Drosophila melanogaster: one gene and its partner. The protein of the gene in region 1 interacts with the protein of each later gene in a pairwise test. Each region holds a gene or a part of one and is shown on either strand. Other genes may lie near its edges.

Region 1 (4,534 bases):
CCGCACTCATTTCCCCGTTTAACGATCGTATTTCACAGTTTTGCATGCACTGCGACTGACTGTAAATTCCAGACGATCGGGTGCTTGTAAATTAAAATTTAAATAAATAAACGCATTGGAAATTATGACCAGCAGCAAAAGTAAATGAATGTTAACTGATACACCGTTCGTATGTATTGTAAATTATTCGTATGTTGGCGACGGCGATCGAAGCCACAATTTATTGAATTGAACAATGTGCGCAAAGAAATACGTGATATTCTGAAATAGTCGAGACGGGAATACCCCTTAAGATGTAATAGATATTTTAGCAGCTTATATTTATACCAAAATTAAGATGGTACACATTTATAACACTTAATTATATACATACAATTGAATATTTTTTTAATATATAGTTTAATTTTTGGAACAAGTTTGTATGCTCTTTGAAAGAGTATCATGCCGACAATAGCTCAAATCGATTAAATATTTTCGTATGCCGTACGCTATTTTCGACCTCATGTTCAGCAAATTATGTTGGATTTTGTTTTTTTTTTTTTACCTCATATGCTGACGTTTGAGTTTTGTGTTAACACGTCGAATGTATATAAAAATTTTTTTGTGACTCCGCAGCTTAATTTAATGTTAATAATTTGTTGCACGTTTTTATGACACTGCAAACTGGATTGTTGCCATTATTTTGGAGGTGATGTAAATGTGTCGCTGAAGCTGTCACACTTGTCCAAATTAAAATCTTGTTGGCATTACGGGAGTGGAATTTGAAATTTAACTGAGTTCCGATGTGGATTTTGTTGAAATTCAATATGCTTAAGTAATTATAGAACTTTAATGCCTGTAAAATCTTCTACAAAATTCTAGAAATTTTTCTGTGTTCAAAAGCCTTTCCATTTGACCCTTAAATATTGAATAAGATAATAATTTTCATTTTTATTGCGACTGTTGCATAATGAACTAAACATGTTAATTGCCTCTATAAACACACAAGATCATATGTCATCGTTCACTTAATAAGTGTATATATTATTTAATCACAATCATAGGGAAAATTGTTTCATAATGCTTGAAAAAAAAAAACGTAAAGACTCATCTAAAAATGTTTGCTATTTTTTATTTGGGTTGTTATTGTCCAGTTCAACGATGATTTGCATAACTCCTATGTGTTTTTTTTCTCGGTTCGTTTTCCTGTGTGTCGGTGAAAATGAACCATTTATATCTTTATTATTGCCTTTTTATGGGGCGCACATGGCTTCAAGAGTCACCATTGCTTTGTTGGTTTTTTAAATGTGCGTAATGAGTGGATGTTTGTAGTAAAGTGCGAGTAGTTTTGACCACCTGGATGTTTATAGGAAATGTTTGGAAACCTCGGCTTGGGAGATCTTTACATTTTCAATACCCTAAACCTGTAAGACGCGTTGAACTCGCCTACGAAAGCATTTCATTTGAAATACAAAATATAATATTATGTTTTCTATCCTTTAATAAATTAAATTTCTTATTTTAACTTGCATTGGCTGTCGCAATTTTCTGTATCAGCAATATTTTGGGAAAAGCGTTCAAATACCCTATGAGAAAGGGTATAACACGATTATACAAAACTCGGACAAAAGTCGTCTTCCATTCACTTAATAAAAGACAATAACTGCGTTTACTTAGTGTGTCCGTGTTCGTGTGTACTTGTTGAAGTTAAAGCAAACATATCTGGACACAGATATTTAACTATATATGTACATATATACATATGTATCTGTATCTATAAGCTATACGTACGAACGTATATAGATGCGAACAAACCGAGTGAGAGATTGTGTACACACTATTGCTAAGTGGAAGTTAAGTGAAATCAGAGCCGGCAGCACTTTGAACTCCAACCCGTTGTTTTTTGGCCGTCCGAACGGTGGATCAACACCTCCTCCAGATCGCGAGATCGGAGATCGATGCGGAGATGTGAAGATCTGGATATTTGGAGATGAGATCAATGGACGAACTTAGATGGATCGTATCCGATCCATCGACACCTGTCCGAACCGACCCAGTTGCCTTTTAGACACACTGTTTGTGTTTTGACTTTCAATTCCAAATTGTATAGGTTTCTAAATTTTCAAAAACAAAAAAAAAAAAAAAAGATAGAAAAAAACTCAAAAAGAAGCAAAAGACATGGCGTGGTGCTTCCGCGACATTCGGCGCCACATGTGCATGCTGGTGCGTCAGAACTTCGCCAAAAGTTGCGAGAAGAAGCTAAACGATCAGATCAACATGGAGTTGAAGGCATCCCACCAGTATCTGGCCATGGTAAGGTTCCGCAGTCAATAGGGAATATATATATATGCATATAGTACGTTCAATACACGTAGGCCTACCATTTCGATCGCTCCGATATCAGTTCACCCGGAATGCATCGATTCTTCCTAAAGGCGAGCGTCGAGGAGCGGGAGCACGCGGAGAAGATCATGACGTACATGAACAAGCGTGGTGGTCTAATCATTTTGAGCAGTGTACCACAGCCGTTGCCCTGTTTCGCCAGCACCTTGGATGCACTAAAGCACGCAATGAAAATGGAACTGGAGGTCAATAAGCATCTGCTCGATTTGCACGCCCTGGCTGGCAAGGAAGCGGATCCGAATCTCTGCGATTTCATCGAGGCCAATTTCCTGCAGGAGCAAGTGGATGGCCAGAAGATTCTGGCCGACTATATTAGCCAATTGGAGAAGGCACAAAACCAGGTGGGCGAATTCCTGTTCGACAAGTATATGGGCAGCGGCATGCATCCTGCGAAATGAATACCTCAAAATGGACAACCATCCGATGAAGAATACGTATTATAATTGGCAAACCCATGTGTGTTCAGTAAAGATTCGTTTTTTGGCCGATCAATTGTTTTTTTTTTTTTTTTTTTGCTGCCACATTATCAAGTGGCTGGCGTAAAACTAACTCTATAAATATACTCGCTTATCGGCTCCAAGAGTTGCGCAAGATTCTAATTGAAATCGACACCGAAACTGAGTCCAAAAACAAAGCTTCACGAAATCAACAGCTAAACCCATCTGATAACCCTTTAGTTGGACCACAGTGTTGATGGTATTGGATAGTAACTCATCTGCTTTATCCAGTTCTGTAAATACGTTTCTAATCAAATGACACAATATTTCTGTTATATATATGATAACAGTTGATAATCTCGAATCTATAAAGATAAAAGTTAAAAGAAGCCTGACATTTAACTACGCTTGTTCTACCCATTATATAATAAAACACTTGGAACTTGATGATGAAGCAGTTGGTCTATATGATAAGCATTTGTGACGTATTAATAGGTTATCTATATCTATATAGATTGAGATCGTGAAAGTCGGCAAGACACGACAAATATAGTAACTCATTCATTTAGTTACATAGAATATAATATGAAATAAGTACAGAATTGCGAAACTTCGTTCTAAATCAAATTAAATTTTCCCTGATCTAATTTCCGAAATCATGAACCCCTCTGGAAGTTTGTGGGGGCATTCCCACATTGACCAACAAACTCATCCAGATCGTAGGGATCGTTCATTCAGAACTGAATGCTGAACTGAATGGTAAGATCTTGGCGGGGCTTTAATTGAAAAGCGCGTCGCATTTCCGGTCTAAAGTCTGAGGTTCGGAGGCATTTATACGAAGGCAGACTGTACATACATACAGTGCGATACAGATGCGGCCCCAATAAATTGCCATAAGCTGCGGACTAGACCAGACCAGACGAGATGATCTGTAGTAGTAGTAATCCTCCCCCGGCGGGCGGGCGTTAGAAAAACTCGGTGTCTGGTCGACGGCGTACTTGTCCCAATTAAGATTTCTGTCCAATCCAATACAATTTGCAGCTGGAAATGTGAAAAGCCTAGAGAGACGAGATTGCCAGCTGCCCATATGCTATATATATATATATCTGTATATATGTACCTGATCCGTATGCCATAACATATGTCTCTGTATGTCACTTGTGACGATGCAAAGGTGTCGCCTTTTAGATCTATCAATATAAGCCCTAGTTTAGATCTTAAAGATCTTAATGACTTGCATTATAAATCGTTTAATTTTGAATTGAGTCTTAAGTTACACCCTTGTACACTTATGTGGATAGCATGTGTATTATTATATCGTCTTTTTAGTTACTAAATCACATCAATTTTGAGTGGAGGTAATGCTGTTAGACATTACTCGAGTTATCGATACACCCTGAGAGCCGTTCATTTGTGCTATAAAAACAACGAACGTGTAATTAAAAGCCACTTGCGATTCGATTGATAATTGAAACAATTACCGTGGGGTAACCAATAGCCGATCCGTTGTTAATTTAAATAATTGATTTTCAATGCGATTCCGTGACGTCTTCAATCGAATGACAAAATTTCAATTGTAAATAAGAACTTGTAAGCCGAAAGTAATTTGTTGCAAAAAGATACATTGCCAAAGTAATAGGAAAATATCTGATAGAACAACAAAATTGCGTACTAAACTCGTTTTGAGAGCATCTAATAGAATAAAATGATTAAAT
Region 2 (9,382 bases), on another chromosome or scaffold:
AGATATATAAATAGTCTTTTCCAGCTAACGTTTATTTAAATACAGCTGAATCCTTTATTGAGGAATATTTTTTTCATCCGTATACAATAAGACAACATTTATTTATCACATAAAAAACCGAACAGCTATTTCCGGAATTTTGAAAACCGATACGTTATCGGTAGTTGAAGCGAATTTGGTCTGGCAACTATCTGCGACGTTGCCATATTGATGACACAGCGATGGTTCGCATAAAGAATAGGTAAATATTGACCGCGTTTTCCTTAACGATCATTAATTAAACCATCCATAAACAGGTATATAGCGGTGCAGATTGTGCCCTACACGCCAACACAATCTCTGCGACTCAACGACCACAGCCTGACCAAGATCCTGCTTCAGAATGTGGAGAAGTATTACGGAGTCTATGGCCTCGCCGTGATCGAGCAGGGATTTCGAGTGAAATACATCAACGATCGCACGAAAATGGCAATCATACGCTGTCTCCATCGAGGCCAACGCTTCGTGTCCAGCGTATTGCCATTGATTACTTTGGTTGGTCTCATTGCCATGTCCTTAAACCAGCTATAAAACCACATTTCTTTCAGATCGGAGATGTACGGGCCAAGTTTAGGACGCTGTACATTGGTGCCACCATCATCCAATGCAACAAGTTCATAGTCAAGCACCAAAAACAGTTCCTGGACCGCACCATGGGTCAGATAACCTCCGCCAAGGAGCGCCAGGATCTCTTCAAGCGCGTAATGGAGTTCGACATGGACAGATAGCACATAGTTTGTTTAGAATGTAATTAAGTAATTATATTTAATGGTTTTCTTATAGAAAACCCATGCTTCCAATTCAACTAAAATGTGAGTGTTTTTGGTATCGTTCTAAACTTCGATGAGGAATTTGCGACTCGGTGAGCGGGCAACCTTGGCTCCAAATTGCTTTATTCTCTGCCGGACGTCGGCCAACGTCAGCTTGTTCCTCTTGCTGTAGACATTGAGATATATGCCCAGGACAACGATGAGGCCCGACCACAGATATCTGAAAGTTTGGGATAGGTATAATAGAGCTTTGTCTTTAGAAATACACAGAATAGTACTTACTGTAAGGTAAAGGGCTTGCTGAAAAGCACAAAGGAGAAGGCTATAGTCACAGCCTTGCGGGCGGTGGTCACTGTGGCAGCTATGGGGGCACCACTACTCCTCACCAGAGCCAGCACAAACTGAATGCCCAGATAGCCGGACAAACTAAAGAGGAAGCCATAGCCGAAGGTCTCAACGGGATGCTAAATGGATAATACACTTTAGATCTCTTACATCATAAACCTCAAATGTTACCCACCTCCAAACAGAATGCAAAGCCGCTGAAGAAGTTGCCGGTAACCAGCATAATCACAAATAGGTACACAAAACCCAAGCCGTATGAGTAGAACACCACCTCACTGCTGGGCGCCTTGAATTCCCGCATCGCCTTCTCCTGGACATTGCCAATGGCTGCGTCGCAGAGCAGCGCTCCCGAAATCATGGCCACACCAAGCAGATTGAAATTGGGCGTCATCTGGGAGTCGGCCAGCGTGAACCAGGCCAATCCGATGCACATGCAGGTGGCTGCCGCAAAGTCCAGCAGTCCGTAGCGTTTGCCCTGTATGAGGATGCTGCCCACCAGCACGGGAATGAGCTTGCAGCACTTGAAAATCACCTGGGTGGGATAGTTCAGGTAGCCGAGACTTGAGTTGGACAGACCCATGGTACCCAGCGTGAGAGCAGCCAGAATTAGGTATGTTCTCATGGGAATGCAACGTGGCTCCGGCTCAATGTTCCAAAAGGAACCGCCGCTTATCCGATAGCCCTCCAGCCGCCGCTCCACCAAACCGAAGCCGATGTAGTAGCCAAACTGGACGAGCGTGAGGAACCATCCGTAGGGTTTGAATCCTTCGACGGTGAAGATCAGCTCCTGCAGATAGCCGTACAGGATGTACAGGAAGAAGACGCCGGCGCAGCTGAGCAGGAACTGAGTTGTGCGATTGTAGTAGGTGAGGTCAAAGCAAAGGATACGGAGTTCCGGCGGAGATTCCGACGTCGAGGACTTCCGCTGCGAGGGCGGCGAGTTTCCCGCCGATTCGCCGCCATTAATGGTGATAACGCTCCCCTTATTATCGGTCATTCTGCTGCTAGCGGATGTGTCTATATACATATACACACTATATAGTGGCTATTTCAAGATTATATTTCCAGGGAGCCCGTGTAATTCAATGCCACGCTGTCCGCGGAGTTGTCGGTTTAAAGTGCGGATTTGTCATGCCTCCTCGGATGCTGCATTAATCACGGGCCGGCGTGGAGATTTCTGTTGGGTGCAAATTGCCCTGGCTAAATGTTTGTTTACCACAAATAAACTATTTTTGTCAGCTTAGAACTGAGATAGACGCGCGGCGTTGCCACGTTGTGGTAATAATAGAAGAGAGACCGGTATAACGTGGAACAAGTTGGCAGCTCTGCTACCACCGTCATTCTAATTGGAACTTCTGCTACTGGCAATAAATACATTTAACAAATGAGCAGCGATAAAGGTTTAAGCCGCTTTTTTGCTCAAAAAAGCGTATGATAAGCGCTAAAAACTACTTAAAAAGTAGTGCCGAGAGTAACTCCTAGTATTTGACTACATGTCGTTCTAAGAATACAAAGATATGGGCACACTGTCGGAAAAAACAAGAAGAAGCAGTGAAAAGTGCCGCTGAAAAAGTGCAAAAAGTTATGAATTTAGTATTTTACATAGGATAATAGTGCTAATAACAGTCGCAAAATGGACGTGCAACCGCCACGCGGTAAGTGCAGCAATTAAAAAGTGCTGAATATAACTTAAAATCAAGCTAATTTTGTGCCCAAGTCGATTGGCATGCACATGTGTACACATACAAACAAACAAGCGCACGCACAACCTTTGATATGCTCACATTTTTTGCAAAAACCATTTGCTTTCTATTTGCAGATGCCAGTTTACGAAATATTATCGACAAACTGGCGGAGTTTGTGGCCAGAAATGGGCCGGAATTCGAGGCGATAACCAAGCAGAAGCAGCAGAACAATCCAAAGTTCGAGTTCCTCTACGGCGGGGAGTTCGCCAACTATTATCAATTCAGGGTGGCAGCGGAACAAGCTCGTGAGTGCGTTCTAAATTGGTGGAAAATAACCCCTATAATCTCCTTTTAACACCCAATACAGTGCTAAAGCAACAGGCCATTAACCAACAACTGCCACCAGGTGCTCCATCCGGCCACTACATGCAACATCCGCCGCCAATGCAGCAATCCCAACCACCGGGCCTCTATCCGCCACCCAATCAGCAGCCACCGCACCCGCCCGAAACCGCACAAGACAATATGCAACAGCAAACACAGCACTCCTGGCCGCCGAACTCCGGCAACGGTGGGCCGCCAAACAATCAGCAGGCCAATGGCAATCCCATGGCCATGAATCTAACGTCACAACTGGAAGCCATCAAGATGCAGCAGAAGTCGCTGCGGGAACAGATCCAGCAATCCGAAGCGAATCTCTCCGCACAGCACACGGTAATTTGAAGTTGGAAATAACTGGGATACCTCTATATGCCCACCTTTGCAAGCCTTTTTCCGAAAGATTAGAGCAGCTCGAGTGTATAAAGAAAAGATTTCAATATGATTTCATGTTGAATGTTGGCCTCCTCTGGCAAAAATTTAAAGAAGCAAATTGGTTTCCTTTTTAAACTAAATACCCACCTAAAAGTTGCTTTTATAGTCTGAATATAAGAACGTGTTTGCTTCTTCGAATTTTTGACCTCCCTTTTAAACGACCCAATCGAATGTGAATATACCTCGATTTTAAGCCAGAATGCTTTTAATTATTTTCTTAAGAGAGAAGATAACTTGTATAACCCTTATATACTTTCGGACTTAAATGATTTCCAAAGATATTGTCATAGACTCATAGATGGCAGTTTTGTATTCCCTAGTTTTTGTAATAACAACTCTGGAACAAGAGTTCATCAAATGGTGTTTAATATTAATAATTATGAACTGCTTTTGTGGACTTTTCACTCTATAAGTACTGTGAACTAAATTCTTTCTAATAAGAAGGACATTTCTTATTGCTTGTCGCTATTGAATTTCCCTGTAATGGAAGTGACTTCCCTCTTGAAATTGTTTCTTATGAAACTAATCCACGAATTCCTCAGAATAATCAATCCTGCTCTCGACCCTTTTCCAAATGTTTTTTCAATCGATCTACTCAGTTCTTGTTCTCCAAGTGCGGATAAGATAAAGTTAAAGTGTACTTTCAGCAATATCAAACTACAATCTATATTTGTCATTATTTTTACTATTTAATTAACAATTTACAATGCTACATTAAATTTTTGCTTTATTGTATTTTTTGAAACATAAACCAAAAAAAAAAAAACCAAATCAAACCACTCTTCATACCAACTGACAAAACTGTATAAAAACAAAAAAAAAACAAATCCTAAAATCAAATTTGTTTTGAAACGCTTGTCAAATGAATCCCAAAATGCGAATATGCATGCGAACAAACCTTTGTGTGCCTAATGACCAAACCGAACCGATCCGAACCACACCAACGCTTGCGATCCTAATCGCACCAATCAACCAAACGAAACCAACCTGTAGGCCCTGATGAATCAGAAGACCAAGCAGATCGAGGATGCAATTGCGGCGGCGCAGACGGCGCAGCAGGAACAGATGGCTGGCGAACAGGGCATTGTGCTGAGGGACTTCGATGGCGTTCTGCAGCCGATCATCGAGTCCTGCACGAAGGACAGCATCTCTGCAGGTAAATACGAGTTCAGCGGACAGGCTGGATTACATTATTGCTTGTTTGTAGTCTCGTAATCAGTCATAAGTTAGCTAATGGAGCTGAATTTTTGATGCTCCGCAGCTTTGCTGCACACAAAGCGCACACTAAATGAATCCATACTACTTTTTGATTAATCCTAAACCTAATTTATAATCGCCATGGACAATGACAATATGAGTAACCCGTTTGATATTGCAATTTTAGGCAAGAACTGGATTTTACAGCATTCAACCGACAGCGCAAAAATCAATGTCGTTTTACAATATCTTTTAAAGAAGTATGCCTCAGTTTTATACCTAATGACCTGCAATATGTATTAATTAAATTGTGTTTCTTTCTTTCAACGAGTGAAATACTAACCAAACATAGAAAAACGAAATACGAAATATCGAACAAACAAGTGAGAGATGATCGATTGAGCGATTGTGCGATTGAGACTTCCACAGAGAGGCTCGAGATTGATTCGTTGATTCGTTTTCGAGAGATGTTATGATCATATATGAGTAGTCCCCAGATCCGGAAGTCTTTTAGCTAGGGCCACACACCCAAACAAATCATTTTACTTAATAAGCTTAACCATAAACACGCACAACAACACACCAACACTTAACAGTGATAATCATCGGACAAAAAAAAAAAACCAAAAAAAAAAACACAAATACCAAAAAGAAAGAAGATTTACTAACAAAAATCATTATACTTGCACAACAAGTACTTTTGGCAATGTTGTTGTGCATACAGAGAACTAGAAAAATATGTTTTTCGTTTGTTAATTTATTTTTAGGGCTTTGGTCAATGGTTCAACGTTTCAGCAAAAATTGCATCTTATATATTTAGTTAATGATATACTCCATCACTGGTAAGTTCGCCCAGTCAATTATTAGTATAGTATAGTATTTAAGGGCCATAGACCTCAATAACTAACCCACTGAGCAGTAAGACTACTTTGTGGGTTAGTTTCTGCGGACGACTACGCTGACAGAATTGGACTGAACCTGACCGACCACCGGACTTCGGACATCATACCTTGACATTTAGAGTAGCTAGGAGATGAGACCTAAGTCCAACGATATATTTACAGCATGCGCAAGAACATCAATGACTTGAAGAACAGCCTCGAGAACGTCGTCATTCCGATGTTCTGCAGCGCCGACTTGAGTATGTATTTCCACTTCGATCCATTCCTTTACGGATTTCTAATAGTGTTATCCTCGCCCACAGTTGGCAACCCCGACCAGCGCCAGAAGCTAGCCAAGCTGCTGTCTCTGTGGGAGTCCAAGGCGAAGTTCTTCGATGCCTGCGTCATCTCGAAGCTTCAGTCACCGGACTCGTCAATGCAGGAGTACAAAACCAATCTGCAGAACACACATCATGATATAACTGCTAAATTCACGCAGAATACCAAGGCGACTTTGGATAAGTAAGTATAAAAGTCCAAGAACATAATAGAGCACATAATAAACCATAACTCTTATGCTTCAGCTATCAGAAACAGCATCATGTATTTATCCAACATGCTAGCCAGCAAATTGTGCAGCTGGAGAAACAGGCGCAGCACCTGGAGCAGCAGATTGTGGCCCAGAAGTCCCAGCAGCAACACATGCTTCAGCATCAGCAGAAGAACATACCATCGCTGATGTCCCACCGAATAGCAATGCCGGGTGACCATGAGCACATGAATAGCCAGGGGCCGCATGATCAGCAGCATCCGCAGGCGGGAAATAATATGTATCCAGGTGGTAACTTCCAACAGCAGCAGCCACCACCGGGGAATCACTTTGCGGATCCACGCGGACCGAACTTCTTCATTCCGGACATGTCCAAACCACCACCAGGCTTCCCCGGACCCATGCATCATAATCAGGGCCCAGCAATGGGCCAGCAGCAGCCACAACCGGGACAGTTTCCGCCCATGCAGGCGCCGGGTTCTGGCAATGAACCACCTGTTGATCTTGGCGTTCTCAGTGCAGCGATTCAGGCGTGCTTACAGATGCAGCAGCAACACCATCCTGACGACCCTCAGCAACAAGGACAGCACCAACTGCAGCAGCAGCAGCAGCAACAACCGCAGCAGCAAAAGCAGCCGCCGCCAATGGCTGCCTATCCCCAGAATATTGTTAGACCTGGCCAGCAAAATGCTGATAGCAGCGAAGTGGATCTGGATGTGCTCAATGCAGCCATTCGCGCGGTTATAACCAACAAACCCGAAGACGGAACATTGGAAGATGGCCAGCAACCACAGAAATTGGTCGACGGAGAATCTGGAGAACCTGTTGTGATCGGAGAGCCACAAATACCCACAGCGCCTTACTACGACCTGCCAGCGGGCCTCATGGTGCCGCTCATTCGTCTGGAGGATTACAACTACAAAGCCCTCGATCCGGCGGACATTCGACTGCCAGCTCCAGCGCCACAAAGCGAGCGATTAACAAATGCATTGAACGCCTTCTATTCCGCACCCTCACACGATCGTCCAAGGGATAAGTAAGTATTTCAATTTGATGTTATTGAGCGTTCCTTATAAATGGGCTTATCTTGCAGTGAGGGTTGGGAGAAGCTTGGTCTCTATGAGTACTATAAGGTGAAGAATGCGGCGCGAAAGCAAAAAGAAGAGGAAATCAAGGACGGCATTCGAGAAAAGTCGCGGTCGCCAAGTCCGATTGTGCTCGAGAAACCCCTACCCAAAAAGAGCAACAAGCGAGTTTATCGGTGAGTGTTGGTTTTCCATCAAAAATTTTCACACAAAAACTAGAAATATTTGCACTTATTTTCTTGCGCAGATCCAAGAGTCGCAGTCGCTCCCGCTCAAAAACGCCGCCCCATCGAGATAGATCGTTGTCTCGCTCCCGATCCCGCTCGCGATCCATGGAGCGCTCTTTAACGCCGCCACCGATGAATCGGAGCAGGTTGGGCGGTGGTAACAACCGCAAGGGTCGCAATCGATCTCCTCGCCACGAACGGGACAACAACAGCGGCAGCACAAATACCAGAGAGGGCCGTGGTGATCGTGGCAATTCCAATAGCCGAGACAATGGCAACAGCACCAACCTAAGACGAGTGGACCGCGACAGATCTCTAACACCTCCGAGCTTTCTGTAAATCATGGCTATAGTACAATTTCATGACAGTCGGACCAATGAGCTATCTTTGTTTTTCCAGGGGAAGCACATTTGCCAAGCCAGCGGATTTCATCGAGGAATCGAACAAGGGCCACCAAATGCTCATGAAAATGGGTTGGGCGGGCACGGGAACTGGACTGGGCTCAAAGAATCAAGGCATCGACACGCCCATTTCGGGAGGCGAGGTGCGCGATCGTCGAGAGATGTACAAGGTGAAGTGGCAAGAGTGCGCAAGAAAGGACAACTTATAATTTTCTATCCACAGGGAGTGGGCGCTAATATGCACGATCCCTTCGAGAGCTTTCGGAAGAACAAAGGAGCTGCCTTCGCGCACCGGATGCGATCGCGAGACGACAAGAGTTAGGATCTGCCAACGGTCATAACTTCCCAGTTTTTTGTTTCCTTTAGCCCAGAAAATATACATTTTTATAAAAGCGAACTGAATTTTTATACAAGATTAGGCTATAACATTAAAGCTGGATTGAGCGGCCTTGGCATTTACTTTTTCCAGGACCTGGACCAGGCCCTTGCCAGGACCGCATTCGAAGGTGCGTGGAAAGTCGACGCCCTGCTTGCGCTCGTACATCTCGTGGAGAGTCTGCTCCCACTTGACGGGCCTCACGATTTGCTTGGGCAGCTGCGTTAGGATGTGCTTGGCATGGCGATAGGGTTTGCCATCCACATTGGAGTACACTCTAATGACGGGGTCCTGAAGTCGCACCGTTTTCAGGGCTTTGGTAAATGGCTCCACGGCGCTTTGCATTAGAGGAGTGTGAAAGGCGCCACTGACAGCCAATCTCTTCATCCGCCGGATTTTGAAGGACTTGGCATTTTGTTCCAGGAACTCCAGGGCCTCTACGTTGCCGGCCACTACCTTGCAGTGCGGATACATGTAGTTGGCGATGCCACAGTAGGGCGACTCCACTCCTTTGTCCAGACACCATTGCTGCGCACGAGCGCAGGCCTCTCCCAGATTGGTATCCGGTCCGTAGAGAGTCATCGCCATGGCTCCGGCTGCCTGGTCACATGCCGCCTGCATGGCGGTGGCCCGCACCTGCACCAATCGCAATGCCTTGTCGAAAGGCAGGGCATCCGCGTACACCAATGCGGTAATCTCGCCCAAACTAAAGCCTGCGGCAGCTACACACGTTTCAATGGCCTTGGGTCGCTCCTCACGCAACTGCTCCAGTGCTGCCAGCGAGGATACCATCACAGCCAGCTGAGCGTGCTCCGTGCGATTCAGTTTCTCACGTGGTCCCTCCAGGCAGATCTTGAGCAGATCGTATTTCAGCACCTCGTTGGCCAGCTCGAAGATGCGACGGGCGCCCGGGAACCGGAGCAGGTCTTTGGCCATGCCCACGTACTGGGTGCCCTGACCGGGAAAGAGCATCACACTTGTTTCCTTGGGATCGATGGCGGGCCGGCCTTTCT

The links.
Region 2: the proteins of Fer3HCH (region 1) and scaf6 interact in a two-hybrid assay, tested with the Drosophila melanogaster proteins (one large-scale study listed by BioGRID).

The regions. Positions count from the first base shown.
Region 1 is NC_004354.4:13,105,720-13,110,253, reverse strand, and holds Fer3HCH (ferritin 3 heavy chain homologue), read left to right. Parts: upstream 1-2,059; 5' UTR 2,060-2,157; coding exon 2,158-2,292; intron 2,293-2,354; coding exon 2,355-2,780; 3' UTR 2,781-2,872; downstream 2,873-4,534.
Region 2 is NT_037436.4:17,035,865-17,045,246, reverse strand, and holds scaf6 (SR-related CTD associated factor 6), read left to right. Parts: upstream 1-2,672; 5' UTR 2,673-2,787; coding exon 2,788-2,809; intron 2,810-2,973; coding exon 2,974-3,144; intron 3,145-3,206; coding exon 3,207-3,553; coding exon of another isoform or gene 3,554-3,562; exon of another isoform or gene 3,563-4,313; intron 4,314-4,645; coding exon 4,646-4,808; intron 4,809-5,036; coding exon 5,037-5,109; intron 5,110-5,616; coding exon 5,617-5,691; intron 5,692-5,913; coding exon 5,914-5,990; intron 5,991-6,053; coding exon 6,054-6,252; intron 6,253-6,314; coding exon 6,315-7,316; intron 7,317-7,373; coding exon 7,374-7,541; intron 7,542-7,612; coding exon 7,613-7,927; intron 7,928-7,991; coding exon 7,992-8,163; intron 8,164-8,216; coding exon 8,217-8,315; 3' UTR 8,316-8,388; downstream 8,389-9,382. Other genes in the region: POP5 ribonuclease P/MRP subunit, read left to right, coding at 222-241, 297-534, 588-767; Papst2 (PAPS transporter 2), read right to left, coding at 873-1,029, 1,092-1,273, 1,330-2,181; beg (bad egg), read right to left, coding at 8,409-9,382.